7 linked regions of the Macaca mulatta genome follow. The protein of the gene in region 2 interacts with the protein of the main gene of each other region in a pairwise test. Links are inferred from orthologs where the notes say so. Each region holds a gene or a part of one and is shown on either strand. Other genes may lie near its edges.

Region 1 (4,407 bases), on a different chromosome or scaffold from region 2:
CCAGGACCACCCATCTTCTCAGGCTCAGCCCCGGGAATCTCTGCCCCCTCTGGGGGGCTGCGCACCCCTTCCTCAGGGGATCCAGGGGCCTGGAAGTCCTGGTTGTCAGAGGGCGACTCAGAGGAGCTCCTCCTCAGGATAGGTTCCACTCTGCCTGGCATCCCATGCCAATTCTCATTAGCATCCTTGGCACTTGCCATGAAGTTGGAGTTGTTGTCTGGTTGGAGCTCGGGCTGACATACTCCAGGAGGTGGGTCCCCCAGGAATTGGCCCCCCTCAGCTAGCCCTGGCTGGATGGCGAACATCTGGTCTGTAAAGGGAAAGCAGGAGACTGAGTCACAGTAGGACAGGGTGGGGTGCCTGAAGTCAGGGCAACTTAGCTGCAGGGACAAGGCTGAAAGCAAGAGCCCGACCACTCCCTGTCAAGCCCTTTCTCTTGACTCTGGTGACACTTCCCCTCACGGTTTTCGTCCTCCCTGTCTACCTGTTCATTCTCAGTCTCCTGCAGAGGGTTTTTCCTCAGTCCTCAGAGCCAGGCTGTCTTCTGATTTTGCACATTTCTCTCCAGAGGACCTCATTCTCTGCTGTAGCTTCAAGGTCCATCATATGCTGATGACTCTCAGATCTGTCTTCAGCCCAGATCTAACTGCTATCCAACCCTGCAACCAATCATAGGCTCCTCAAATTCTACATAACCAGTCTGGGTGCGGTGGCTCATGCCTGTAATCACAGCACTTTGGGAGGCCGAGGCAGGCAGATCACCTGAGGTCAGAAGTTCGAGACTAGACTGGCCAACATGGTGAAACCCCATCTCTACTAAAAATACAAAAATTAGCCAGGCGTGGTGACAGGCACCTGTAATCCCAGCTATTTGGGAAGCGCTTGAACCCAGGAGGCAGAGGTTGTAGTGAACTGAGATTGTGCCACCACACTCCAGCCTGGGTGACAGAGTGAGACTTCATCCCTCTCCACCCCCCGCCCCCCGCCCCCACCACCAAAATTCTATATAACCAAACAAGCTCTCCTTCAGTATCCTCAGCAAGATGGCTCCACCCTCCATCCAGAAGGCTAGGAGCATCCTGGGCTCCTCACTCTCCTTCCTTCTCCCATCTCATTGATAACCACATTCTGACCATTCTTCCTCTTCCAGGCCATTTCTGACCTGGATTATTGCCTCGGCCTTTTCACTGGTCTCTCTGCCCCCAGTTACAAATGTAAATTTCACTTGTCACCACTCAGAATGCCCTCCCTGAACTCCTGCTAAACCTCTATGTGGCCTACAAGGCCCTGTTTGATCTAGCCTCTGCTCACCCTTCCACACCTGCCTTTTGCCACTCTGTCCCTCCCATCATAGCAAACTGCCCAGAGATCTCAAAACACACCATTGTCCTTCTTACAGTATTCCTTTGGCCTATAATATCCTTCCTCTCCCCTCCCCTCAAAGCTCCTCCCTTCTCCACCCAGCAAATTCCTTTTTGTACTTCAAAATCAGCTGTAATATCCCCATATCTCCATGTACCCATGTCTCTGAAGCTGTCTTGATACTGCCGCAATCAATATTACATAAACAAGCACGGTTAGTTATGCCTTCCTCTGGGTCCCCACTGCCCTGGGTACACACTGTCTTATCCAACTTTGTGTCTGTCCCTGGCATACATGGTCGACGATCAGTGAATGTCTATTTAACTGGCAGTTTTGGTTTGTGGCAATGATCTTGTAATAGCAGTTTGTAATCTAGCTTGGACCTCCCCTATATATCCTCCATCATATTCCCCAGAGTCAGCCAGCATAGAGCCCGGAACCAGGCTATCTGTGCATACTGGTACTTGCTAAGCGAGTGAATGGGAGAAGAGACTGCAGTGAATTTCCATGCTCAGGAAGCTACTCCCGACTCCCCCGGGCTGGAAGAGCTGGGTTCAGTTCCCTCTCCTACCCCAGCCAGGGAGCCCAGCCTTCCCCAGTGACAAGCTTTTCTTCTGAGCCTGCCCACTTCCCTCCCAATGCCTCTGGAACACGGCCACTATCTTGTGTCCCTGTCCCTAGCTTGCTCCATCCTGAGGCCCTGGAGGGCGGGCATACCACACCACTCTTCTCTCCTCCATAACCTGCTTCTAACCAAAATTAGGATTTGAATTGACAAAGGAATTCTACTGACCAAACAGCACTGGGATTAGAACAATTTAAGAGCATGAAGAGGAAGGATATTGTAAGTGGAGCCGGCACTGGGAGGCGCTCCATAGGTGGCATGGACCCTCCCCACCCCCAGCAACGGGCAGAAGTCCTGGGGAGAAGGGTGTAGGAACAGTTCCTTTGTAATCGCCCTCTAAGCAAGGCTTGTGGGAAGGTGCCTACAGATCTCCCCTCGCCCCAATTTTTAATTTTTCCTATACTTGGATGGGGCCATGAAGGAAGCTGGGATGGGGTAGGGGTGGCGCTAGGGATCACAGGGTTCTCAGAAATAGTAAAATAGGAACCCCGCCACCCCAGGACTAGGTCTCCGCCCAAATAGGAGGCAGCCTCCTTTCCTGGCCTTGCGGGAGTGGGAGAACACCCCAGGAGGCAGAGACCATCCTTCCCTAGTCTCCTCGGAGGCCGCTGTGACTCCCCGCTTCCCGCGGCTGGGCCCCAAGCCCCCCGCCTCCGACTCACGGCCTAGAGGCGCCCGATCCGGCGCGTCTGGCTATGGCTCCGCCCGGCCCTGGTGGTGTCTAGTCCCTGGGCTGGGGGTTCCTCGGCCTGGGCGTCTCCGCGGTCCAAGGGTGGGTGCGGGGCTCCCGGGCAGCGCGCCCAGCCCCAGGTCCGGACTGCGGAGTCAGGCGGCGTCTGCGCGGCGGGGCGGAGCGGCCGGGCCCACGTGGGCCGGTTCGGTTTTCCGCGGAGCCGCGCGCTAGGCTCTGCGCCGGAACCGCCTCGCCCCCGCGCGGGGCCGCGTTGAACCAGGCCTTTCAGGTCCGGTGCTCTCTCCTATTGGCGTTCGCTGGGCCCTTCCCATCAGTTCACCTCACTGCAGACACCGTGCCATTTTCAAGTGAAATCTGATTAGTCACCACCTTCCGGCTTTAAACTCCTCTAGGACTTCCCCACAGCCGGGACAACCCCTAAGGCAGCAGCCGCGGGGCTCTGCGCGTCCGGCCCTCCGTCTGCCTCTCCGGCTTTGTCCTCTACCCTCCCTCTCCGCAGCTACCCTCCCGCACGCCCCTTTCCGCCACGCGGCTTTGGCACGCACGGTTCCCTCGGTCTAGCAGTCTCTTCCCCCTCTCGATTTACTCCTATTTCAGCTCTCTTCTCGGAGAAATCTCTGACTCCCTAGATCGCATTCGTTCCCCCTTGTATGTCAGGGCACGTTCCTTTTCTTCATAGCATTTATCACAATTTGGAATTATATATTTCTTTTTGTGCTACTTGACTAAAGTCACTGAGACCGGGCGCGGTGGCTCACGCCTGTAATCCCAGCACTTTGGAAGGCCGAGGCCGGCGGATCACCTGAGGTCAGGAGTTCGAGACCAGCCTGGCCAACATGGTGAAACACTGTCTCTACTAAAATAGGAAAATTAGCTGGGCGTGGTGGCGGGCGCCTGTAATCCCAGGTACTCGGGAGGCTGAGGCAGGAGAATCGCTTGAACCTGGGAGGTGGAGGTTGCAGTGAGCCAAGACTGTACCACTACACTCCAGCCTGGGCAACAGAGTGGGACTCTGTCTCAAAAAAAAAAAAAAAAAGAGAGAGAGAGAGAAAGAAGAAGATCCAGCCTGGGACAGGTCCCAGGGCTGATGTCCTGTACCTGGGATGGGGGCTCTCCACAGGACACAGAGCCCGTCCATGACACCTGTGCAGTGGGCACTAGTGCTTTTGCCCAGGTGAGGAGGAACAAGGTTATAAAAAGGGTCCTGGCTTCCAAACTCTAGTGAATTCTTCTCAGAGCTCCACTCTACTGAAGCTTGATCCCCCTCTTTTGCACCCTGGGGAAATGTGAAGTTGGGGACACTGTTTGGAATAAAAGAGAACAGAGTTTAGTAATTGCTGACCCTAATATATAAGGTACCCTCTTCCAGTTTCAACTTGATTCCAAGTCACCATTCTGCAACCTAGATACTAATTGGCAAATTGAAATCACACCAAGAAATCCTATATGCAAAAACAGGGAAAATGGAAAATAAATTTTTATGATTATGATGACTATTTTAAGAGGGAAAAGGAAATAAGAAGAAGGCAGAAGTAATTCAAACTTTGCACACTCCTCCAGCTAAGAAAATACAGGTGGAGATGTCAGCCTCATTTCTACATCAGATCCTGTGGCCTAAGTTCTCTCCCTTCCCTTATCCACTTCAGGTTCCCCTGGCCTTCAGCCTGGGGTGACCCAAATCCAAATCCTTACTGTTGGTTGTTTTTTTTGTTTTTTGAGATGTATT
Region 2 (4,438 bases):
GTTCTCCAAGTTGGTCAGGCTGGTCTCGAACTCCCGACCTCAGGTGATCCGCCCGCCTCGGTCTTCCAAAATGCTAAATTACAGGCGTGAGCCACCGCGTCCGGCCTCGGAAAACTCTTAACTGCTTCCCATTTTTAGTTCTGGCAGCTCTCTCCATATTTGTGGAAACGATTTATTGGATTATCAATGTAAGGTATTATCTGTCGACTCACTGCTAAAATAGATCAGGATTTAACTAACACTCCTCTCCACCTCTTCCCTCTTTCCGAATTTCTAACAGTTTATTACCTTATGTTCTAGAGATAATCTTTCAATTATATACTTAAACCTCGATTTTTTTGTTTCGTTGCTCAAAGTTTGCTAGATATTGGCCCTGCTGTCTTCCATCAGCTGCAATTTTACCTTTACGTCAAGGTTGAGAACATTGACCTTCAGGTCTGTCATCCTGCTTAAGAGTTTCCGTGCTTTGTCTGTAAGATGGTGCTAAAAGCTTTACTCATGAGCAGTATTTGCTGGGTTATGTCGGTGGAGGACAGCGTGCTCTGCCTTGCTGGCTACTAAGTGCTGGGGCTGCAGCCTGACCCCTCCAGGTGCAATGCCACGTCCCCAGATGCTTAACTTGTGGTCTAGAGGTACCTTTTAAAAATCGTTGCAACCCTGCTTACAATTTTCCCCCTCCAAGTGGACAGCTTCGGGCATCCCTCACTGCCCCAGATTCTCAACGGGGTCTGGCGCCCACCGTTTTAGGGAGCGTAATTCCCAGAGCTCAGATGTCAACGAGACAAGAGCTACCGCTCAGTGGGCGTTTTCTCAGCCCTAAACTCCCGATCGACTCCGAGTCTCCTTGCCGGACCCGGAGCAAATCTCAGAGTCAACATGCGAGAAGCGGCAGCCGGGCGGCGGACCTCCGGCTTCCGGCACCCTCGCGCTTCCCGCCGGCACGAAGGACGCCTCTCGACAACCGCCCGCCTCTCAGAGGCCGAAGTCCTAGGCCCTCCGGCCTGCGCTGCCTGTCCACGGACGCGCTGGCCTCGGGACACCCACCAAAGCGGCAGGACTCGCCTCCGCCAGCTCCACAGCCCGGAACCTAGTACGCGCTCCTAGGAGCCGCACAGCGCAGATCAGGGGGCGGGCTTTCGGCCGCACCCCTTCACTGTTTCCCCGCCTTCTTTGTTTATTCGGGGCCCGTCATTGGCTGCTTGGCCTCGAAACCGGGCGAGCCGCGGGTCTTTGGAGAGACGCTATTGGACGAAGTCCCTGTCGCTCGGCCAGCGGCCCGCTCGCGATTGGTTGAGAAGCCGCCGGGGGTTTGAATCGCATCCCCGGCCGGGGAGGGTTCTGCCAAAGTGCCACGTTGGGCCCGGCGGCGGCGTGAAGACCGGCGGCAGCGTGAGAACCTGGCTCCCTACGTTCGCGCCGTAACGCCCGGCCGTTGGGGCCGTTGGGAGGCGCTAGGCGAGTCGAAGCAGCCGGCCGGTCGGCGGCGGTCGCCGGCGGGAACGGGGCTGAGGCGGCGCGGCGGAGCCTGGGCGGCGGCGCGTCCCGCCCGAGGGCGGCTCTGGCTGAGGGCGGAGGGGCCGGGGAAGAGCCCGGGGCAGCGGCTGAGGCGGGACGGCGGCGGCGGGGACCGTTGCCCCTAGAGGACCCAGCCGAGATGCTGGCGGAAAACCTGGTGGAGGAGTTTGAAATGAAGGAGGACGAGCCGTGGTACGACCACCAGGACCTCCAGCAAGGTGAGGGCGGGGGCGCCCCGCGGGCGGGCGGGCGGCGGCGGCGGCGGCCTGGCCCGGGAGGCCCCCGCTGCGAAACTGTTAAAAAGTTGCTTTTTCTGGCGGCTGAGGATGCAGGTGCCGGGAAGGGCTCGGGCTCACCTGGCGGCGGGGCCGGCCGTGCCCGTGGATCCCGCCCGCAGGAAGCCTCGGCGCGGGGCCCACGGCCCTGCTAATGCGCAGTTGAATATCAGACCCGAGGCGCATGGGGGCCAGGGACGCGCCAGGCACCGTTTTAAGCGCTTTCCGTGGATTAGCTAGTTTAATCCTCACTGCATTCCTCCGAGGCAGACCGGGTGAGCCAGTGTGTCCCGTAGTAAGTGGCAGAGCCCGAGAAGCCGCCCCCTCGCAGGCTGTGTAGCCCAGCGCCTTTCTTGGCCAGCACGGAGGGCCGGCTGCTGCAGGTGGTAGTGGTTTTGCGATGTAGCGGGAGCTGTGCGCTCTGCGCCGTAACTCTAGGAGACAGTAACTTTTAAAAAATTGATTAATTTTGAGGGTACATAGTAGGTGTATCTATTTATGGGGTACGTGAGATGTTTGGATACAGGCACGCAGTGTGAAATAAGCACGTGATGGAGAACGGGGCGTCCATCCCTTCCAGCATTTATCCATTGAGGTACAAACAATCCAATTACACTGAGAGTAACTTTTGTTATCCCATTTTCCAGATGAGGAAAGCGGAGGTTGAAACGGTTGAGTGGCTTGCCTAAAGCTAAGTGGGGGAGGGAGTGGTTTTTTGAACCCACACACTCAAAAGGAGGAGTTGTAGTCACTCCTCAAACCCCCATCCCTTCCTTACCATCCTAGTTAACAGTTTTTTTTCAGTTGGGAATTAAGCTGTTACGCATAGTTCACCAGATGCCAGTTGAAATGACAGAAGAGCGCTTCTACCTCTGCCACTTTTCTTCAGTTTGCATGCCAGCTTTCACTTAGAAATAGGCCTGCCGATGGTGTCTCCAGAGAACAATCATAGAGCAGCCAACACTTTGGGGCCAGTGGGGCCCCACTTTTTTTTATACTAATAGCAGGAGCTAGCAATTGGGGAACACTTTTGATGTGCCTAACACTGATAGGCCCATAACAGAGTTGCTCATTTATCTCCCAGTAACACAATAGAGGTGATAATGTTGGGGAGTGCTAGGGTTCCCCTTAAGACTCGAGAGCAAACATTCTTAACCGCTATACTGAACACTGTGAATAATCCTCAGGAATTTTTCCCGGCATCTTTGGTTTCTGCAATTCTATGTAAATGTTTTCAGCTCTAATCTTGCAGTGAAAATTAACATCTCATTTAGTTAAATATTGAATGATGCTGATGCTTGTTCATGCTAACCACTGAACATGGCAGATGCTTGTTCATGCTAACCACTGAACATGGCAGATGCTTGTTCATGCTAACCACTGAACATGGCAGAAGGAAACTGTGTAGACTTGAGTAACTCAGAAAAGGAAAATAAAACGAGCACCTCTTTTGGAGGAAGATAATTTCTTAAATTAACATGCAATCACTTTAACCAAAGTAATTCACCTTTATTACGCTTATAGAGTCCAAGCTGCTTAGTGGTTGCAGTGCAGTGTTTGGTGGCATCATCTTTATGTCCAAAGGACACATTTCTCATACGTTTTAACAAACCTGTTTTCAGATTTCCCCATAGGGATTGATGGCCTAGTTTGATAGTTTCTCCAGGATTTGTGAGGCAACCACTGTGCCATTGCAGTATTTCCCTATAATTTAATTTGTATCATCACAACTAAATATTTTTCTTTCCTGTATTTAAGAAGCATAGGCCGGGTGCGGTGGCTCACGCCTGTAATCCCAACACTTTGGGAGGCCGCGGCGGGTGGATCACAAGATCAGGAGTTTGAGCCCAGCCTGACCAACAAGGTGAAACCCCGTCTCTACTAAAAATACAAAAATTAGCCAGGCGTGCCTATAATTAGCATGTGCCTGTAATCCCAGCTACTCAGGAGACTGAGGCAGGAGAATTGCTTGAATATAGAAGGCCGAGGTTGCAGTGAGCCAAGATGGCGCCGCGGCACTCCAGCCTGGGCGACACGAGACTCTGTCTTAAAAAAAAAAAAAAATTTAAGAAGCATAAATCCTTAAGGGTATAGAGGGGGCAGGTTCTTTTTTCTGGTATTCCCAGCATCTAGCATAATACTTGGCACATACTGGAAGCTCGATTTTAGTATTTGTTGAACTGCACTGAAGCACTATCACAGAAGTGTTTTCATGGCTCTCTTCCATCAGGTGCCTTAGTCCACGCTGCGTTCTCCCACTGTTGGAGGTTGTTTGGAACCACCAGCTGTAACACTTCAGTCTATCAAGCAGCAAGTGCAGCGTGTCAGGGTTACAGGTGGAATTCTCTTTAACCTCTGATCAAAATAAAGTCATCAACTCTTCAAGTTTAACGTTAAAAACACAGGTCTGGCCAGGCGCGGTGGCTCACGCCTGTAATCCCAGCACTTTGAGAGGCCGAGGCAGGTGGATCACGAGGTCAGGAGAACGAGACCATCCTGGCTAACACGGTGAAACCCTGTCTCTACTAAAAATACAAAAAATAAAAAATTAGCCGGGCATGGTGGTGGGCGCCTGTAGTCCCAGCTGCTTGGGAGGCTAAGGCAGGAGAATGGCGTGAACCCGGGAGGTGGAGCTTGCAGTAAGCCGA
Region 3 (4,218 bases), on a different chromosome or scaffold from region 2:
CCTCACCCCCAACTCCCATCCCCTAACCCCCACCCCAAGGCTTTCTCAGACTCCAACTCAAGCTCAGCATAGTGCACCCGAGACACCCAGAGGCACTCCAGCCTCAACTCCCAGCTCCGCCTCTAATGAGCAGTGTGGCTATCACCTCGCCTCCTCGGGACTCAGTTTCCTCATCTGTGAAATGAGGGCTGGTTCAGTCTGTGACTCCTAATGAGTCGGTATGTGACATAATCTACTGTGAAGTGAAGGAGACTGGTGGAGCCACGGTAGAAGAAATAGAAATGAGGAAATTAACTAACCAGGGTTTTCCCACTTTCATTCCCTGACGAGAACAAATAATCATTGCTGATACGGATTCAAATGCTGAGGACTTTCCCATACTATATCAAGGGCAGCAAACCTCCAGTTATTCAAGATCCAACAAAGGAATAGCTCAGCTAACACAGCACCTTTCTTAAAAGAGAGAAATGATAAGAAGCAAGCCCACACCTGCAATTTATTCTGAACAGCAATTGCTAAAGGATCAGAGAATCTGTTGTTTTCCATGATACCATAGATTTGACCTGATTCTCACACCTTCACACTGTTCTACCATACAACTGTCTTTTGGATAACTCTGATACCTAAACAAAATAAAAAATTTTAAAGGCCTAAGATACAGCCTAAATCATAAAAATAGTAGGCCAGGCACAGTGGTTCAAAATGTAATCCCAACACTTTGGGAGGTGAATGTGGGTGGATTGCTTGAGCTCAGGAGTTCGAGACCAGCTTGGGTAACATGCCAAAACTCCATCTCTACACAAATATAAAAATTAGCCAGGTGTGGTGGCCCACACCTAGAGTCCGACCTACCTGGGAGGCTGAGGTGGGAGGATCACTTGAGCTGGAGAGTTTGAGGCTGCAGTGGGCCAAGATCGCACCACTGCACTACAGCCTGGGTGATAGAAGGAGACCCTGCCTCAAAAATGAAAAACATTAGGTCGGTGCAAAAGTTATTGTGTTTTTTTATGGCCTAAATAAATAAATAAATGTGGTTTTTGCCATAAAAAACACAACTACTTTTGCACTTACCCAATAAAATAAAAAATAAATAAAAGTATTGTGGTATGGACAGTGTAACTATAACATTAACAATACAGCTTGAATTCTAATTCTTTTAAAACAGCCAGCTCTGTGGTCGAGCTTTGTTTTCTTATTCAAACTTTATCTTATTCATCTACCAGCAAAAGAGCTGTTTTTGGAGATGAAACAAATTACCAGAGATGACAGCAATTTGGCAAGTTTTGTAAATATATACTATTCTTCAGAAATTTGAAGTTACTGTACACACAGATTTAGTATACATAGAAAATTCCACTCCTATGCCAAATCTATGCCCCTGTATGCTTTCCACTTATTTATTCACTATTTTAAAATAATGGTACCCAAGTCGTTGTTTCCATTAAACCAGCAATCAAATAAAAGCCTTTTGGGCGATGAGGAGCATCTGTTCGGAAGGGGGAGGTGCCACGCTTGCTGTTTCTCTAAGCTCCCTGGGAAGGGAAAGACAACTCAGAAAACCTACAAACTGTAGCTCCTTCCGGTGCCCGCGTAACCCCCGAGTCCAGGAGCGGGCAGGGGCGCCGCTTGGTTGAGCCCAGTGGGCACCCGGTCTGGGTCTGGGCCAGCCCCGCCGCAGCAGCCCCTGGGAGGCGGCGCTGCACGGGCCTCCGCGCGCGCCCTGACCCCACTTGGGGGCGCCCCTGGGTGCCGGCGCGCGGGGAACGCGCTGCCGGGGTGCTGCGCCGGCTGCCACTGTTTCCCGGGACTTCCCTCTTGGAAGATCTCCAGGCGCAGGTCCAGGACGTGCTCCTGCTAGGAGTCTAGAAACTCCAGTCCAGCCCGGACCCTCCCGGGGCCTGCACTCCCTGCGGGTAGAAGCACGCGCCGCGTGTCCCCGCCGGATCCCAGAACTTCCCCGAAAGTCCTCAGCTCCGGCAGACCCTCTCCCTCGAAGTTCCCCCCGCCACCCCTTGCAAGCCCCCAGACCCCGGGGACAGCCGCTCACCTAGCCAGCGGCTCCAGTCACCGGACACCGGACACCGGACACCGGATACCCGCCGCAGCCGCTCTAGCCGCCTAACCCCGCACCTGAGCCCGCCCCGGGCGGCGCGAAGGGGTGGAGGCGGGGGTGAGGCTTCCGCCCGCCCCCTCTGGCCCCTGCGCCTCCCATGCACCCCTGCAACCCCCGAGGAAATTCCCTTCCCCCTACTCCCACCCCATGCACACTCTCGCCAAAGCCTCTCCCCAACCCCAGCACCTACCAGTGCTGGGCGCCCCTGGGCAGGGTGGCCCGATCACCCGCCACATCCACTTGGCCGCCAGAAGCCGTCGGGGAAGGGAGGGAGGGAAAGGCAGAAGCGTCCCAAGCGGCGCAGGCGGGCTGAGCAAATACTCTGACCGGGACGCCAAACAGCTCCTGCAGCCGGCCCGCCCGCGCCGCCCCGCCGCGCCCACATGCCGGGTGACTAGCGGGGCGCGATCGCGGCCCCACCCGGGCGCCTGGAGGCTCTCCAGGGACAGTCGTCGGCCAGGCTGCGTGGCCTGCGCATCTCGGGCCGCCTGGTCTGCGCGCTGTCCCCGAGCTGCGGTAGTCCGGGGTAGCCTTGCTCCTCTCCTCTCTTAGTTCGTGGGACTGGGATCTGCAGTCTATGATCTCTTGGGGACTGCAGGACTTAGATTAAATCAGCAGGTCTGGGCCTTTCCATGTTTCAGAGCTCGGGGTTCCATGCGAGGTGGAGGGTAGGAGGGTGCGCGGGCCCCACTTGTTCACTCGGCTTGGGTGCCGCAGGCCAAGGCGACTCTAGAGCTTTTTTTTTCTTTCTTTTGTTGACATTAAGTAAATGATCAAACTCTTTGGCACTTGTCGGTACAGGTGTGGCTTTGTAGGACAAGATGAAGGACGGAAAAGGCTGAGAAGGAGACCGCAGTCAACACAGACCAGGAGAAAATGAAAGAAAACTGGGGAAAAAGTTAAGATGCTGAAAGGAGTCTTGTGGATTGCAACAAGAACAGGTTGGGTTGGGGCCTGAAGACATCAGGGAGGAGCTGGCAGTCCACAGTTAGAGGAAATCTTGGAGGAAAATTCAGCAGAAGCAGAGTGGAAAGGCATTTCCACTGGAGGGCATTTTCCATCCTAGAGGAGTATGTGGAAGAAAACCGCCTGCTTTGGTGAACCCCAGATTTTATGTGTTGGGAGAGATGTAATAAATAGCAAACACCAGTAGTCCTCTCCACAGACTACCTGACCTCTTCAGGAGCCTGACCTGCTGGGTTCAAACATAAAACGTCATTCCCCGCCTTTACAAACGGCAGAAGCTATGCAGTCACATCAAGCCTCGGGGCAGGCGGCATTGTCAGGAAACAAGACCCAGCTATTTAGGAACCATTCCAGGGATCCCATCAGGGAGAAATTTCTGGTCTAAGGCTTAGTTCCTACTGCAGTTTAAATGATAGCCTATGGGGTGCTTTAGGCTGGAGTGGGATTGGCCCCTGGAAAGCTACTATGGCGAGGTCGAAATGAATCCTAGCCCTGCATGGATGGATCGGTTAACTATACAGGGTGGTTTATCTGGAAAAATCCCATAGGACACTGTGACAGCCACTTACCTTTCTCATACCCAGTCTCTCTCCAGGTCCTGACAAGTCCTTCCTTATAATAGCTCTGTCACTGTGCTACTAACCTCTGTACCTCAATTTCTTCTCTGGATAGAGTGTCTGCCTCCGTAAGTTGTTAAGAGGGTTAAATGAGATACCGCATGCAAAGGGATTAGAACAGCTCTTGGCATGTGGTGAGTGTTCAAACACATTTGCTCAGATCAGTTCATATCACATTAAGGTACTATAATTCCAGGTTCCTGCTATCTCACCCTAGGCTATGGTTCTGCCCACCATGCCACTTACATTCCAAGTCATTCCCAGGGATCCCGTCTTCCTGTTATTCATACCCTTGCATAGCTCCCCGCCACTTTGTAAAGGTTGGTTTGCTTGACCAATAGAACCCGGCAGAAGTGATGATGGTATGCCACTTAGGAGATTAGGTAAGGAAACATCTTGGAGCTTCTATCTTGAAAGAATGTTAACAGCCCAAAGGAACACACACTGTACACAAATAGCACAATCAGCTCAGAACCCAGACTCTTCCCTTTTCTCTCTGCCCCTTTCCATCCTTCTTGTCTC
Region 4 (3,697 bases), on a different chromosome or scaffold from region 2:
ACTAACACCTAGGGAGACACACACTCAGCCATGCCAATACCCTGCAGCTCACAGATGGCACCACTCCCACACCCACAGGCTCACACAAGCCACGTACGTAGTTACTAACGGGCCTCCCAGATGCAGTGGACCCAGCACCAAGGACACACTAAGACACCTGGGTGCTCGCCTGCACTCTTTCATCCTGAGTCCTGCCCCAGCCCCGAGGAGTTTCCCCGGGTGGGTGGGTGGGTAGACTGCTGGGCCCTGGTGTCCCTCTGCCTGCCTGCCTGCTGGCCCCCAGCTCCCCCTCCCCGTGCCTCAGGGGCAATGCCCAGGCTGGGCTGAGGATGAAGCCTCCCAGGCAGACCGAGGTGACCATGCGTGATGACTCTCTCCCACCTGTGACCTGTAGATGGCCCCCAGTCCCCCGGTGCGGGCGGCCCCACTTGCTCGGCCACCAACCTGAGCCGTGTGGCGGGCCTGGAGAAGCAGTTGGCCATTGAGCTGAAGGTGAAGCAGGGGGCGGAGAACATGATCCAGACCTATAGCAATGGCAGCACCAAGGTGAGGCAGCACACGCACACACGCCGTGTGCACACACCACACCTGCGCACGTACAGTCCACCCACACGTGCACACCCACCCGCATGTGTACACATCTGTCCCCGTGTGCACATGCCCACTCGAGTGTGCACCCACGCCTGTACGTGCACACACTGGCATGTACCCCCACATCTGTACATGCACACACCTACCTGCATGCATGCACTCACCCACATGTACACACACGTATACACCCACACGTGCACACACCTGCATGTGTACACACCCTTGAACGTGCACACACAGCTGCACGTGCATGCACACTTGCACACATCCACATGTGCATATACCAGCATGTGTACATACACCCCCATGTGCACACACACCTGCGTATGCACACACACCTGCCTGTGCACCCACATCTGCATACGCATTTGCAGTGCACACGCACATGTACACACCCACATGTACACACCCACTCGTGTATCTGCACACACACTGCACATGTATACAGCTGTATACATGCACAGGTGTGAGCAGATCACAGGCTGGGGGCATAAGGTGTAGCCTACAGCTGTCCCCATGGGAGGCTGGGAGCCTTTGGATTGGGGACACACTGGCTGATGGGTGTAACCTGGTGTCAGGACTAAGGCACAGGCAGCTCATGCGGGCATATGGGAAGCGTGACTATGGGCGATGTCAGACAGACATGTGGCAGATTGTCTCCCCTCCTCCCATGGTCTCCTGCAGAGCCTCAGGCCCATCCACAGTCAGGGCAACATGCAGCCTCTCACTGCTGATGGTCTTCTGTTACAAGCACACACAATCATGTCAATACCTTGACACACACACACACCATCATAACATCTAGACACACACACACACATGCTGTCATAACATCTAGAGACACATACACACATGCTGTCATAACATCTAGAGACACACACACATGCTGTCATAACATCTAGACACACACACACACATGCTGTCATAACATCTAGAGACACATACACACATGCTGTCATAACATCTAGACACACACACACACACCATCATAACATCTAGACACACACACACCATCATAACATCTAGACACACACACACGCTGTCATAACATCTAGACACACACACACACATGCTGTCATAACATCTAGACACACACACATGCTGTCATAACATCTAGAGACACACACACACACACACCATCCTAACATCTAGACACACACACATGCTGTCATAACATCTAGAGACACACACACACATGCTGTCATAACATCTAGACACACACACACATGCTGTCATAACATCTAGAGACACACAGCGGTAACAACATCTAACAACACAGGGAGAATCCCACCACAGCCACATCTGGACACATACACACACTTACATTCATACCCAGAGACTGGTGCACACGGACGCACAGACACACACACATCCCCCATCCTGCCAGTCAGTCCCAGGAACACACAGGTCTCCACAACACCCAGAAATTCTGACACCACAAGCACAGGCCGACCTACAGCTAGAGGATTAACGTCCAGACCCACAGGCTGGTGTGCGCCTGTCCTTCCACGTGAATGTCACATGGGAGGACAGACTGCATGGATTTTTTTTAATGACACTATTTTATTTATTTTTTTGAGACAGAGTCTCACTCTGTCACCCAGGATGGAGTGCAGTGGCGTGCTCTCGGCTCACTACAACCTCCGCCTCCTGGGTTCAAGTGATTCTCATGCCTCAGCATCCCAAGTACCTGGGATTACAGGCATGTGCCACCACACCCCACTAATTTTTGTATTTTTAGTAGAGATGGGGTTTTACTATATTGGCCAGGCGAGTCTCGAACTCCTGACCTCAGGTGATCTGCCCACCTCGGCCTCCCAAAGTGCTGGGATTACAGATGTGAGCCACCTTGCCTGGCCTAACATTATTTAATTTATTTAATTTATTTTTTATTTTTATTGAGATAGGGGTCTGTGTTGCCCAGGCTGGACTCGAACTCCTGGGCTCAAGCATTCCTCCTGCCTTGGCCTCCCAAAGTGCTGGGATTACGGACCTGAGCCACTGCGCCCCATTTATCAATTGATGGACATTTGGTTGTTTCCACGTTTTTAGCGATTGTGAATAGTTTTGCTATGAACACCCGTGTACAAGCATTTGAATACCATTCCATGAAAATTTAAAACCTAGAACAACTGTGTATCTTTTTACATGTATCTGAGCATTATACACAAAAAGAATAAGACTTTCTCACCCCCTAAGAATTTCTGCCCCCTCGGGGGTGATACTGACCCGATGAAAATGAATAGAGTAGGCCAGGTGCGGGTCCCAGCACTTTGGGAGGCTGAGGTGGGCGGATCACTTGAAGTCAGCGTGGCCAACATGGCGAAACCCCAACTCTACTAAAAAAATACAAAACTTAGCCAGGCGTGGTGGCACATGCCTGTAATCCCAGCTACTCGGGAGGCTGAGGCAGGAGAATTGCTTGAACTTGGGAGGCAGAGGTTGCAGTGAGCTGAGATCACGCCACTACACTCCAGCCTGGGTGACAGAACGAGACTTTGTGTCAAAAAAAAAAAAAAAAAAAAAAAAGCTGGGTGTGGTGGCGGGCGCCTGTAATCCCAGCTACTCAGGAGGCTGAGGCAAAAGAATCGTCTGAACCCAGCAGGTGGAGGCTGCAGTGAGCCGAGATTGTGCCACTGCACTCCAACCTGGGCAACAGAGCGAGACCCTGTCTCAACCAATCAATCAATCAATAAAACAAATTGCAGCCGAGAGAGGTTGAATGGCTTGCTGGAAGCCACACAGATGTTAAGTGACAGAGCCAGGATTCAAACCCCATTTACTACATCATCCCACTGTATCCAGGAATGCATGGAAGTGCATTCATTTACTTATTTATTTATTTTGAGACAGGGTCTCACTCTGTTTCCCAGGCTGGAGGGCAGTGATGCAATCTCAGCTCAGTGATGCCTTTAGCTCCTGGGTTTGAGTGATCTTCCTGCCTCAGCCCCCTGAGTAGCTGGGACCACAGGTGCACACCACCACACCCAGCTAATTTTTGCATTTTTTTTTTTGTGGAGACAAGGTCTTGCCATGTTGCCCAGGCTGGTCTTTAACTCCTGGGCTCAGCAGTCCACCCACCTTAGCCTCCCAAAGTGCTGGGATT
Region 5 (4,288 bases), on a different chromosome or scaffold from region 2:
ATGCCTGTAATCCCAGCACTTTGGGAGGCCGAGACGGGCGGATCACCAGGTCAGGAGATCGAGACCATCCCGGCTAACACAGTGAAACCCCGTCTCTACTAAAAATATAAAAAAAATTAGCTGGGCGAGGTGGCGGGCGCCTGTAGTCCCAGCTACTCGGGAGGCTGAGGCAGGAGAATGGCGTGAACCCGGGAGGCGGAGCTTGCAGTGAGCTGAGATCAAGCCATTGCACTCCAGCCTGGGTGACAGAGCGAGACTCTGTCTCAAAAAAAAAAAAAAAAAAAAAAAGTAAAGTTTTCAAGTTGAACTCTAGAGAATAAAACTAACAACAGGGCCGGGCGCAGTGGCTCATGCCTGTGATCTCAGCACTTTGGGAGGCCAGGGCAGGTGGATCACTTGAGCTCAGGAGCGTGAAACCAGCCTGGACAACATGACAAAATCCTACCTCTACTAAAACTACAAAAATTAGCCAGGCGTGATGGCTCACGTCTGTAATCCCAGCATTTTGGGAGACTGAGGCGGGTAGATCACGAGGTCAGGAGTTCAAGATCAGCCTGGCCAAGATGGTGAATCTCTGTCTCTACTAAAAATACAAAAAATTAGCCGGGCGTGGTGGTGGGCACCTGTAATTCCAGCTACTCTGGACACTGAGGCAGAGAATTACTTCAACCCAGGAGAAGGAGGTTGCAGTAAGCTGAGACTATGCCACTGCACTCCAGCCTGGGCAACAAGAGTGAAACTCTATCTCCAAAAAAAAAAAAAAAAAAAAGCAGGCACTGTGTCTCACGCCTGTAATCCCAGCACTTTGGGAGGCTGAGGTGGGCGGATCACAAGGTCAGGAGATTGAGACCATCCAGGCTAACACGGTGAAACCCCGTCTCTACTAAAAAGTACAAAAAAATTAGCCAGGTATGGTGGCAGGTGCCTGTAATCCCAGCTACTAGGGAGGCTGAGGCAGGAGAATTGTTTGAACCCGGGAGGCAGAGCTTGCAGTGAGCCGAGATTGCGCCACTGCACTCCAGCCTGGGCGACAGAGCAAGACTCCATCTCAAAAAATAAATAAATAAACAAGTAATAATAATACAAAAATTAGCTGGATGTGGTAGTGTGAGTCTGTACCCCAATTACTAGGGGCGCTAAGGCAGGAGATCAGTTGAGCCCAGGAGGTCCAGGCTGCAGTAAGCCAGGACTGCGCCACTGCACTCCAGCCTGGTTGACAAAGTAAGACCCTGTCTCAAAAAAAATTAAAACAACAACCAAAAAAAAAAACAATGACGATAGGTTGGAGACCTATTCTCTTCCACATAAGCCTTGCACTGTTGCTCAGGCTGGAGTACAGTGGCTCCATTTCCGCTCACTGCAACCTTGGCCTCCTGGGTTCAACCAATTCTCCTGCCTCAGCCTCCTGAGTAGCTAGGACCACAGGTGCGCGCCACCACGACCAGTTGAATTTTGTGTTTTTAACAGAGATAGGGTTTCACCATGTTGACCAGCGTGGTCCTGAACTCCTGACCTCAGGTGATCTGCCCGCCTTGACTTCCCAAAGTGCTGGGATTACAGGCGTGGGCCACCGCACCCGGCCACCTTCTATGCTTCTTGATTTACCCCGGAACAAAGACGCAGACGCCTGAACACAGACACTGCTGTCACAAAGCATGCCTGCCCCAAGAAGCTGAGACAAAACTGCAAAGCAAAGGGAGGGCCACCCTGACCCGACCCTGTGTGCGTGCCCCTTACGCCCCAAGGTTGGCATCCTGATAACAAAGGGTTTTACCTGCAGTTCTCCTTGAAGCGGCACTTTCCCTCCAGGAAGAACGGGCACGGCTTCAGAGACTTGTGAGTGGGGTACAGGTAGAGCACACGGACACCCGCCGAACCATCCTCAGCCTCTTCCGCTCCCACCACCATGGCGTTGTGATACTCCAGAGTGCCCCATGAGCTGTAGTAGGGTGCGCTCACCTTTGTCCCACTCAGCTCTTCCTCGTCCTCTCCCTCTTCCTCCTCCTGCCCACCTGCTGCAGATTCGGGCCCCGCCTCTGCTTTAGGAACGGTCTCTGATCCGGACTCAGGGGCTGCTGCTGGCGCCTCCACCGCCTCAGTGATGGCCTCCCGGAAAGCCTGGTACTCAGCATCTTCCCGGCCCGTGCGCTCTTCGTCCAGCGCGGCCAGCAACTTGCTCTTCCTGACAGACACCAGGCTGGCCTCGGTGAGCTCGATGAGCTCCTTCAGGTCCCCCTGCAGCTGGCGCAGGTCCGCCTGCTCAGACGAATCCAGGCCGGCGCCCAGGGCCAGCTCCACCTGCTGCAGCTGCGCACGGTAGGTCTGCAAGGCCGACTCCAGGCTCTCCTCGTCCATGCTGAGAGAGGGAGGCGCTGGACCAGGGCTGCGAGAAGAGAAGCCAGGTGAGCCCCGCGTCTCGGGACCGGCCCCACAGACTGCGGGAGGGCACGGGCACGTCCCCTGTCCCTCGGGGAGACACCGGCTCAGAGGCACAGCTCCCAGCGCAGAGGTCGCAGACCGGGTACCCCCGCTCAGGCTCCGCGCTTCCCTTCCGAGCCGCCCTGGGCTCGCCGCTAGCCGGGTCCCGCGTCACTCCGGAGACCCCCTCCCCGCGGGGCGCCCCGCCGCCCGGCCCTCCGCCGAGCCCACCCGCCGCGCCCGCTGCCTTCCAGGCCGGCCCCGCCCCCGCGCCCGGCGTCTCTGCAGTCTGGCCAAGGCCGCGTCCCCGCAAACCGGGGTCCCCTCTCCCCGGGCAGGGAACCTCCCCCGCGCGGTTTCCCAGCTGCCGCCATAGAGAGCCCGCCGGCCTCACCGGCTAGAGCGGCCCGGCACCCCCCTTTCGTCCCCGCCGCCGACCAGCACTTCCTCCCGAGCGCCGCCACTTCCGGAAGTGCCTGGCGCGCGGGGGCAGCCGGGAAGCGGAGCGCGGAGGCCGCCGGGACGCGTTTCAGCTCATTCCCTGAGGCCGGCTCTCGTCCCGTCAGGCGCCGCGCGGGGTTAGCGCGGGGTCAGCGGAGGTCAGCGGGGGTCAGCAGCGGCGGCTCCGAGGTCGCGGCGGTCGCAGGTAGGCCGCAGGCTATGCGGTGGGGCGCGAGGCCCGAGGGGCGGCCCAGAGCTGGAGGTGGGACGCAGGTGTGACAGGAACCAGCTTTGGCTGCTTGTCGGCGAGCCTCCAACCTGGCGGCCGCGGCATGGGGCGGCCGTAGCCGGGGTCCCCGACGCGGGTTCTTTCTCCGCGGGAGTCGTTCCCTGCCCGCCGCGCGCTGCCTCCGGGAGCAGCCGGGCCGCTGCGCACCCGCCCTGTAGTCCGCTTCCCGCTGGCCGTCCCCGTTTTAAGAAATGGGTTGATGGGGCGTCCCTGGGGAGCTCCTGGGGAGCGCGCCGGCGGCTCGCTGCTCCCGGGTGGGGCGCGGGGGCCCAGGCGGGGCTGCCGCGAGTGTGTTCCCCGTTCCGCGCGCGTGAAGCGTGGGAGCGAAACCTCGGGGGAGGGCGGGAGCGCAGCGGAGCTCACCGCGAACACCCGGCTGGGTGGTCCCGCGAGCAGGGGAGGGACCGGAGCCGCTGCGGGTTCGGAAAGGTCGCAGTCATTGCTGTGAGCGGAAGGACGGAGTGGCGGCCGGCCTGGGAGGAGTTGCAGGGGTGCGGTGGAGGAGGGAGAGTCGGGAATGGCCCCCAGGCTCTCGTCCTGAGCGGCCAGCTGGACGTGGGGCGCCCCTGACCACCGTGGAGAAGCCCGGGGGCGGGGAGCTGCGTTCCGGCTGCACACTGACACATGTTGGGGCGCCCAGGGCAGGATGTACACGCTGCTGTCGGGCTTGTACAAGTACATGTTTCAGAAGGACGAGTACTGCATCCTGATCCTGGGCCTGGACAATGCTGGGAAGACGGTGAGTGCCCACTCCCTTGCCCGCACCTTTCCCACGGCCGGGTGGCCCCCGCTTCGGTTTTGTGCTGTCAGCTGCATGTTCACTACCCAGATGGAATCCACATTTCACCTGAGACGACAGGATTGTCAGCTTCCTGAAGAGCAGAGTGTTGCTTTGTTTCTGTTTTTCTCTCTTAAGGAACAGGCCTGAGGAAGGATATTTGGGAAGCCAGTGTAGCCCCTACTTGATGTGTCTGCCTCTCCCTCTCTCCTCAGACCTTCCTGGAACAGTCAAAAACCCGGTTTAACAAGAACTACAAGGGAATGAGTCTATCCAAAATCACCACCACCGTGGGTCTAAACAGTAAGAGGTCTAAACAGTAAGGGGTCTAAACAGTAAGGGGTCTAAATAGCAGGCTGTGG
Region 6 (2,843 bases), on a different chromosome or scaffold from region 2:
CAGCTACCTTTCTTGAGATATTTCACAGTAAGGTTACCAAGAAAAAAATCAACAGCTGACGACCAAAATGAGACTTAAAGACAACCTTACATGGCGGCCGTCTTAGTTCTTTCTGCTTTGGTGGAAACGCACTGAACAGGCAAGCCAGGACACCGGTCCTCTGGTTCTTACTCTGATGACTCTGATGCTGTCTTCCTTGGCCTTGGCTTGGATTTTCCTCTGTGAATGAGGGGGTTAAACTAGATATCTCCAGGTTTTCATCCAGCACAGAAATTCTAGTCTGTTTTCTACCATCCATCAGATAACATACTCCTTTCGGATGAATCAAATAATCCATGTAAAGTGCTTATCAAAGTGGTTGGCAAGTTAACTCCTTTTAGTAGTTTCATTTACCAAGTTACTCATTTGTGTAGTTTCCACAGTACCTTTCACAGATGGATGCTGGGTAAGTGTTTGCTGGCTGTCCTCTAAGAATGCTTTTTGATCCTCTGCTGATCCCCTGCTCACCTCACAGAAGGCCTGACCGCACACGTACTAGTATCAGCAAGAAAAACTCAGGAAGAGGAGACTCTTTAGGTTCCATGAACACACAGGAGAAAAACCAGCAGATGGAGGAGGAAATACACCATTTATTTACAATTCTTTTCACTTTATCCACAATTTCCCATACAAACATAAAAACTAAAAAAATAAAACCACCACTTGGGAACACAAGTGTCTTTCTTTAATTAGTCCGGTTGAGGGGACCACTGAGGCACACCGAAGGGGAAAAGGAAGAGGGTCGGGAAGAATGCCTGAGAAACAGCTCCAGATGAGAAACCTAACTCACACTGGTGTGGTGGGCCTCACTGGCAAAGAGACTCAAGGGTGTTACCCACCAGGGATGCTGCTCGGCTTCCCAGGAGGATGACAGCTGCTGGCCCCCATCCCCCCACCCTCCACTACCAAATACCAAAACTCAAACAAGGGGTCACACATCTCATGAGCTGTGTGGGGAGTGAAGGTGACAGTAAGGGACAAGGAGTGCTGCTCTCTGAGAAGAGCCCCAAACCCGAGGGACACACAGGAAGCCCCTTTCCTTGGCACAGTCTTCAGTCACAGCTTCTGTCCTGAATACAACGCTGAACTTGAAAATGTGAAAACAAAAGCCCTCCCCAGATTCCGGGGAAGGTGGGAATAAAAACACATAGAGAGGGCTTGCCCGCCTCTGCAGTCCCTTCTTGGGGAGGCTGCTAGGAGCAAAGCGAAGATGCTCCAGGAAAGTCTGGGGGTTGGAGGGCAGGGTGAAGAAAGGGGCAAGGAGGACTCTGAGACACTGATGCTTGGGATGGCTCCACCCGCTCAGCCACTCACTCCAGCAGCCTCCCGTTCTACCCCTCACAGCAGGACACCCAGGACCAACCTGGAGGCGCTGAAGCCACCTTCCTGGCAACTTCCTCTGTGCTAGTGACCTAGATTGCTTCCACATGTTGATGCACATTATAAATATAAAATCATATCTGCTTACAAAGAGGACATATATTTGTACATCTTTACCCATATACATAATAACACAATTTACACATAATATCTTGGAGTGGGTCATCATGGAAAAGGAGTTTGGAGAGGTAAACAGCCCCTTCTGCCTCCCCTGCCCTGATCCCTCTTCAAGGGATGCTTATACACTTGGTCACTGGGGCCCTTCCCAACTAGTCTGATGGGGCTCATCTGGACACAGAAATTCAGACATGTGACTAAATGCTGATGGGTGTGTATACACATTCACACCCACACACACATGCAGACACCTGGTGAGAAAAGGAAAAATAAAATTCCTAGCTCTTGGGTGTAGGCCTCTTCCCAGAGTTACAAGCATCAGTGTCTCCTCCATCTAGAATAATGGTTTTAAAAAGCTACCCCTCACTGGCTCAGACTAGGGCAGACGGGGAAGGGCTAGGAAACCAGGGAGAGGGAAGAGGAGCCGGGAGTCTTTTGAAAATATAAGGCGTTTTTGACCTGTGATCAAATCAAACTATGTTCACAAAAAAAAGCAACAGTTTTCAGTTGGGGCCTGTCCCTGTAGGGACAATGTGAGTTGAGACCCTGAGCCTTCCCCTTCTTTGTCCAGTTTCTTTTAAAGGGGCAGACAACCCTGTACCACCTTTTCTGTCCTCTCCCAGAACTGGGCCCATCCACGTGGCATGGAATACTGACAGTGGTCCAAGTGACACATCCAGAGACATGGAGTGGTGGACGCCAGAAAGTTAAGACCTGGGCGGCGGGTGTGAGCTTTGTACAACAGGAGTGGTTCCTGGCCGGGGTCCACGGCTCGCACAGTGGCCACAGTGATCAGACTGCCATCAGAGATGAGGGCAGTCTGGGTCCCCGGAGGAGACAGCACCTATCGGCGGTAGTGATTCGGGGCATCGGCAAACATGTACTTGAGTCTGTATGCCTCGGCGAGAAGCAGCCCAATCTCTTCGTTGCCCCAGTGTATTGTAGGTAGGTTCTGCAGCAGCATGAGGAGACCCTGGAATGCAAGAAAGGGCTTTTTTATCATACCAGACTATAGACCAGCGGACCAGCAACCCCATTCTTAGAGACCAAGGCCTAGAATGGGGCCCCTTCCTCCTGGCTCACACATCCCAAAGAGTCCAGCCTCCTTCCTCCCAACAGCACACAGCTTTCAGTCCTAGTTCACCTCAGGAAGCCTTGCAAGCCTCTGCTGATTCTCTAGTCCGCTAACATCTGCCTCTTTAAAAACATAAAAACATAAATAGGGAATGACAACAATAAAGATTTTTTTTTTTTTTTTTTTGAGACGGAGTCTCGCGCTGTCACCCAGGCTGGAGTGCAGTGGCCGG
Region 7 (3,697 bases), on a different chromosome or scaffold from region 2:
CCTATAATGGAATGAGAGAAAACTATATACATAAATAATTTTGTTCTTATCAGATAAGAATTTCTCTTAATGAGAAGACAGAACCAAAGACAAGGGCCCAAGTCTAGGTCAGAAGAGAACAGGGAAAAAGGGCAATAGCAGGAAGAATGGGGAGAGGGACCAACTATTCTGAGCTTCTACCTGGGAGTAAGGATTTCCTTGTATTGCAGTTTCTCTACGCGAGTTGTTGCAGCAACAGACATTGGGATGACAATGTTGTTAATATCAAATGAGCTCTCTCCCCTTCTCCTCCTAACTGGCTGCTGCTGTAAGATAAAAATTAAGTTTAAAAGGGAGGTACAATTTTACAGACATCAAATCATTCATCTAAGACTTAAAGCAGGATCACCAATAACCAGGCATCTGGGTCCTTGGGTTGAAGCTGAGCAGTGACCATAGGAGCTGCTCCCACCTAGGAGTCAGTCTTCAACAGCAAAAACCTTGCGGAGAAATACTAGGTGGTTGTGAGGAGTTATTCCTATTCATAAGTCCCACTGGTCACCCTCTTCCTTCAAGGGCTCATGTGTAAATTTCATAGGGGTGGGTACCTGGGATCTTAACTGTTGGGGTTTCTACTCCATATACACCTCTATTAACCACCTCTCCTTTTACAATCCTCATTGCCCTCCTTTATCCCCATTTATGACTTGACACTCATAGTGGCCCCTCCCCAAAAAGCAATGCTTGAAAGCTTATCCTGAAAGATGCCCAAAGGGTAGGCCAATCTCAATAGATCATCTAACCTTGGTTGTCATGAATGCACCTCCTTCTCGAAGATCTGAACTCTTCTGCTAAATCTGCACCCACCATCTGCTCAGTCTTTATGTGATTTCCCCTCTTTTGGTGATTCTTGGGGAAACATCTGAGAGCTTTCTAGCTGTATCAAAGGAGATGAATGGAGGGAAACTGAAGAGGAGAACCTGACTATACTTCACATTCCTGGTGAAAGGAAATTTGCTTCTATAGGAAGTTGAGAAGACCAAACTCTTAAGAAAAATAAGACTTCCAAGGATCGAATATCAGAGGCAGAGGTAGGCATCTACAGTAGCTGGGAGACCAGGGAACTAAATGGCTTAAGTCTCTTGGATGGAAGAAAAAGTCTACTATCTGCTGCTGCCCAGATAGTTAATACCCTATCCTGAAACAAACAAGCAACTGAGCTGTGAGAGGCCAGAGTCAAACAGTGGCATAACAAACACGCTGTCATGGCAACAAAACAGCTGGAAAACACCTAAGAGGCTGCATTTACACCTAAACCACTAAGTGTGGTCAGCCCACCGGGAAGGGGTTGGTGGTGGAAGAAGTCCCCTACAACTAACCACTCTATCCTCTGTTCCTGGAGGGTGAGATGCAATTTATTTATCCTATCATCTTAGGACATTCTCAGAGAATGTTGAAAGTCAGCACTTCCTGGGCCAGAGTTTCAGTCACTGTCATTTATAATTTCAGATGACCACAATGCCCTTTTCACTTCAATTTCTTTCTCTATCAAATTAGATGACTGTCAGTGACCTCAGAAATTTAGGATATCTGGTTAACCAAAATGGTTAAACAGACTTTTGGGAATCTTGCCTGAGTTCTGTAGCTGAGGATTAATGATCTCATACCCAGAGACCTCTGCCACTGCCAGATCTCTGCTGCAATTATACATCCCACTACAAGAAATGCATCTTAAGAAAGCCTCAAGAGAGAGAGCCTTCCCAGTATAAATGTGAATAAATGTGAAACTGCTGGCAGAAACAGGTATATACTTTCCCTGAAACTTCCTGGGCTTGTTGTTAGAACCTTCCAGAAAAAGATAGTGGAGCAGGTTGTGGGATGGTTCAATTGGCTCTGTATGTCATCCTCCGCCTAGACACACCCCCAATTCTGTCAGCTACTCATTTGGTGTAAATTAACTAGTATCTCCTATTTAGAGCCAGAGATAGAGAGCAGGTGATGAGAATAAAACTGATTCCCAAACTTGGTTGTATATCAGAAGCAAGATTAAGGAGTATTTATAAAAAAAAAAAAAAAAAAAAAAAAAAAAAGGTTCTAGGACTCCCCCTGCTCTTTTATAAAATCAGAATCTTTTTGTTTGTTTGTTTAAGAGATGAGGTCTCACTGTATTGCCCAGGCTGGACTCAATCTCCTGGGCCGAAGAGATCTTCCTGAGTAGCTGGAGCTATAAGCATGCAAGATCACACCCAGCAACAAATCAGATCTTTAGAAGTGTTTGGTTGGTTTGTTTTGTTTTTTAAAGCTGCTGAGGTGATTCTGATGCAGCTACTGGCTTTTGGGAAGCACTCAAACACTCCCCCTCCTCCCTACCTTTCTCCAGTGGCCTCTGGCTTCTTTCCCTGATTTCAAGGACAGCTGGCCCTCTGTATCCATGGGTTCAACCAATTGTGGATTGAAAATATTTGGGGGGGAAAAATTGTGTCTGTACTGAACAGGTACAGATTTTTCTTGTCATTATTCCTTAAACAATACAGCATACTATTTATATAACATTTACACTGCATTAGGTATTATCAGTAATCTGGAGACGATTTTAAGTATATGGGATTTAAAGCATATGCATACATTATATGCAAATACTGTGCCATTTTATATTAGGGACGTGAGCAACTATAGATTTTGCTATCTACGGGAGGTCCAGAACCAATTTTCTTTTTTTGAGACAGAGTCTCACTGCGACACCCAGGCTTGAGTGCAATGGCTTGATCTCCGCTCACTGGAACCTCCACTTCCCGGTTCAAGTGATTCTCCTGCCTCAGCCTCTACAGTAGCTGGAACTACAGGCACATGCCACCATGCCCAGTTAATTTTTGTATTTTTAGTAGGGATGGGGTTTCACCTTATTGGCCAGGATGGTCTTGAACTCCTGACCTCAAGTGATCCACCCGCCTCAGCCGCCTCCCCAAGTGCTGGGATTATTTACAGAAATCTAGTGTCTTTGAGAGCGTCAAGGGTTAGCATAGGGCTATACACAAAATTTTTACTCAATAAATAGTAAAAATTTCAAGTGATCCAGGCCTAATTTAACATTCTCCAGACACAGAAATATTGAAGTGCTCACTAAGTCCTGAATCTCTGACTTCAGATTTTCTATCAGAATTAGACTCTCTTTTATAAATACTGAAACTCTTTGCTGCTGGATAACTGAGTATGTGAGGGACACTACACACCTATTTAGATAAAATTTGTGGGTGAGGGGGATAAAGAAAGGGGAAGAGCAAAGAGACCATTTGGAAAAGATTGATTTTTAACAGCAAAGAGAGAACAGTGTGAATTCCTACCTGATCACAGGAGCCTAGTGAGTCCATTTTATGAGCTTGGAAGTTTCCTGATCTAGGCTGTGAAGGAACTTCCTAAGTTGCCTCTGCAATACCCTCACCCAGGTTTAGCCTGTGTAGTGTAATGTTAAAAGAGCTGGCTCTACAGTCAGGCTGCCTGAGTTTGAATCATAATTATAACCCTCACAAGCTGCCTTCACAGTTTTCACTCATACAAAATGAAATCCACAGTACTAACCTACATCTCAAAAGGCACTGTAACATGTAACACATGTAAATCACTGATCACTGGCATGTACTAAGTGTTCAATAAACATTACAGTTATAGAGTTTTACATTTACCATTACATTATAATTATTATACAAAAAGGACCTTTTGA

What was found.
Region 1: the proteins of CDR2 (region 2) and C1H1orf216 interact in binary tests that used the Homo sapiens proteins (3 or more experiments, as listed by UniProt). The two-hybrid records come from large-scale screens. The link is inferred for Macaca mulatta from reciprocal best matches to the Homo sapiens genes CDR2 and C1orf216.
Region 3: the proteins of CDR2 (region 2) and SH2D4A interact in binary tests that used the Homo sapiens proteins (3 or more experiments, as listed by UniProt). The two-hybrid records come from large-scale screens. The link is inferred for Macaca mulatta from reciprocal best matches to the Homo sapiens genes CDR2 and SH2D4A.
Region 4: the proteins of CDR2 (region 2) and PKN1 interact in binary tests that used the Homo sapiens proteins (3 or more experiments, as listed by UniProt). The link is inferred for Macaca mulatta from reciprocal best matches to the Homo sapiens genes CDR2 and PKN1.
Region 5: the proteins of CDR2 (region 2) and ZGPAT interact in binary tests that used the Homo sapiens proteins (3 or more experiments, as listed by UniProt). The two-hybrid records come from large-scale screens. The link is inferred for Macaca mulatta from reciprocal best matches to the Homo sapiens genes CDR2 and ZGPAT.
Region 6: the proteins of CDR2 (region 2) and TBC1D22B interact in binary tests that used the Homo sapiens proteins (3 or more experiments, as listed by UniProt). The link is inferred for Macaca mulatta from reciprocal best matches to the Homo sapiens genes CDR2 and TBC1D22B.
Region 7: the proteins of CDR2 (region 2) and KANSL1 interact in binary tests that used the Homo sapiens proteins (3 or more experiments, as listed by UniProt). The two-hybrid records come from large-scale screens. The link is inferred for Macaca mulatta from reciprocal best matches to the Homo sapiens genes CDR2 and KANSL1.

The regions. Positions count from the first base shown.
Region 1 is NC_133406.1:205,102,521-205,106,927, reverse strand, and holds the start of C1H1orf216 (UPF0500 protein C1orf216 homolog), read right to left. Parts: upstream 2,828-4,407; 5' UTR 2,650-2,827; intron 660-2,649; exon of another isoform or gene 485-659; intron 311-484; 5' UTR 306-310; coding exon 1-305.
Region 2 is NC_133425.1:21,841,704-21,846,141, reverse strand, and holds the start of CDR2 (cerebellar degeneration-related protein 2), read left to right. Parts: upstream 1-1,579; 5' UTR 1,580-1,654; coding exon 1,655-1,733; intron 1,734-4,438.
Region 3 is NC_133413.1:20,954,349-20,958,566, reverse strand, and holds the start of SH2D4A (SH2 domain-containing protein 4A), read right to left. Parts: upstream 2,992-4,218; 5' UTR 2,350-2,991; coding exon of another isoform or gene 2,304-2,349; intron 2,229-2,303; exon of another isoform or gene 2,048-2,228; intron 955-2,047; exon of another isoform or gene 853-954; intron 1-852. UniProt on the Homo sapiens protein: Inhibits estrogen-induced cell proliferation by competing with PLCG for binding to ESR1, blocking the effect of estrogen on PLCG and repressing estrogen-induced proliferation. May play a role in T-cell development and function.
Region 4 is NC_133424.1:15,052,650-15,056,346, forward strand, and holds part of PKN1 (serine/threonine-protein kinase N1), read left to right. Parts: exon of another isoform or gene 1-394; coding exon 395-546; coding exon of another isoform or gene 547-596; exon of another isoform or gene 597-2,281; intron 2,282-3,697. UniProt on the Homo sapiens protein: PKC-related serine/threonine-protein kinase involved in various processes such as regulation of the intermediate filaments of the actin cytoskeleton, cell migration, tumor cell invasion and transcription regulation.
Region 5 is NC_133415.1:116,567,418-116,571,705, reverse strand, and holds the start of ZGPAT (zinc finger CCCH-type with G patch domain-containing protein), read right to left. Parts: upstream 2,893-4,288; 5' UTR 2,813-2,892; intron 2,384-2,812; 5' UTR 2,356-2,383; coding exon 1,775-2,355; intron 1-1,774. Other genes in the region: ARFRP1 (ADP-ribosylation factor-related protein 1), read left to right, coding at 3,079-3,132, 3,789-3,887, 4,142-4,229. UniProt on the Homo sapiens protein: Transcription repressor that specifically binds the 5'-GGAG[GA]A[GA]A-3' consensus sequence. Represses transcription by recruiting the chromatin multiprotein complex NuRD to target promoters.
Region 6 is NC_133409.1:144,908,132-144,910,974, forward strand, and holds the end of TBC1D22B (TBC1 domain family member 22B), read right to left. Parts: intron 2,510-2,843; coding exon 2,381-2,509; 3' UTR 610-2,380; downstream 1-609. UniProt on the Homo sapiens protein: May act as a GTPase-activating protein for Rab family protein(s).
Region 7 is NC_133421.1:70,935,478-70,939,174, forward strand, and holds part of KANSL1 (KAT8 regulatory NSL complex subunit 1), read right to left. Parts: intron 306-3,697; coding exon 181-305; intron 1-180. UniProt on the Homo sapiens protein: Non-catalytic component of the NSL histone acetyltransferase complex, a multiprotein complex that mediates histone H4 acetylation at 'Lys-5'- and 'Lys-8' (H4K5ac and H4K8ac) at transcription start sites and promotes transcription initiation.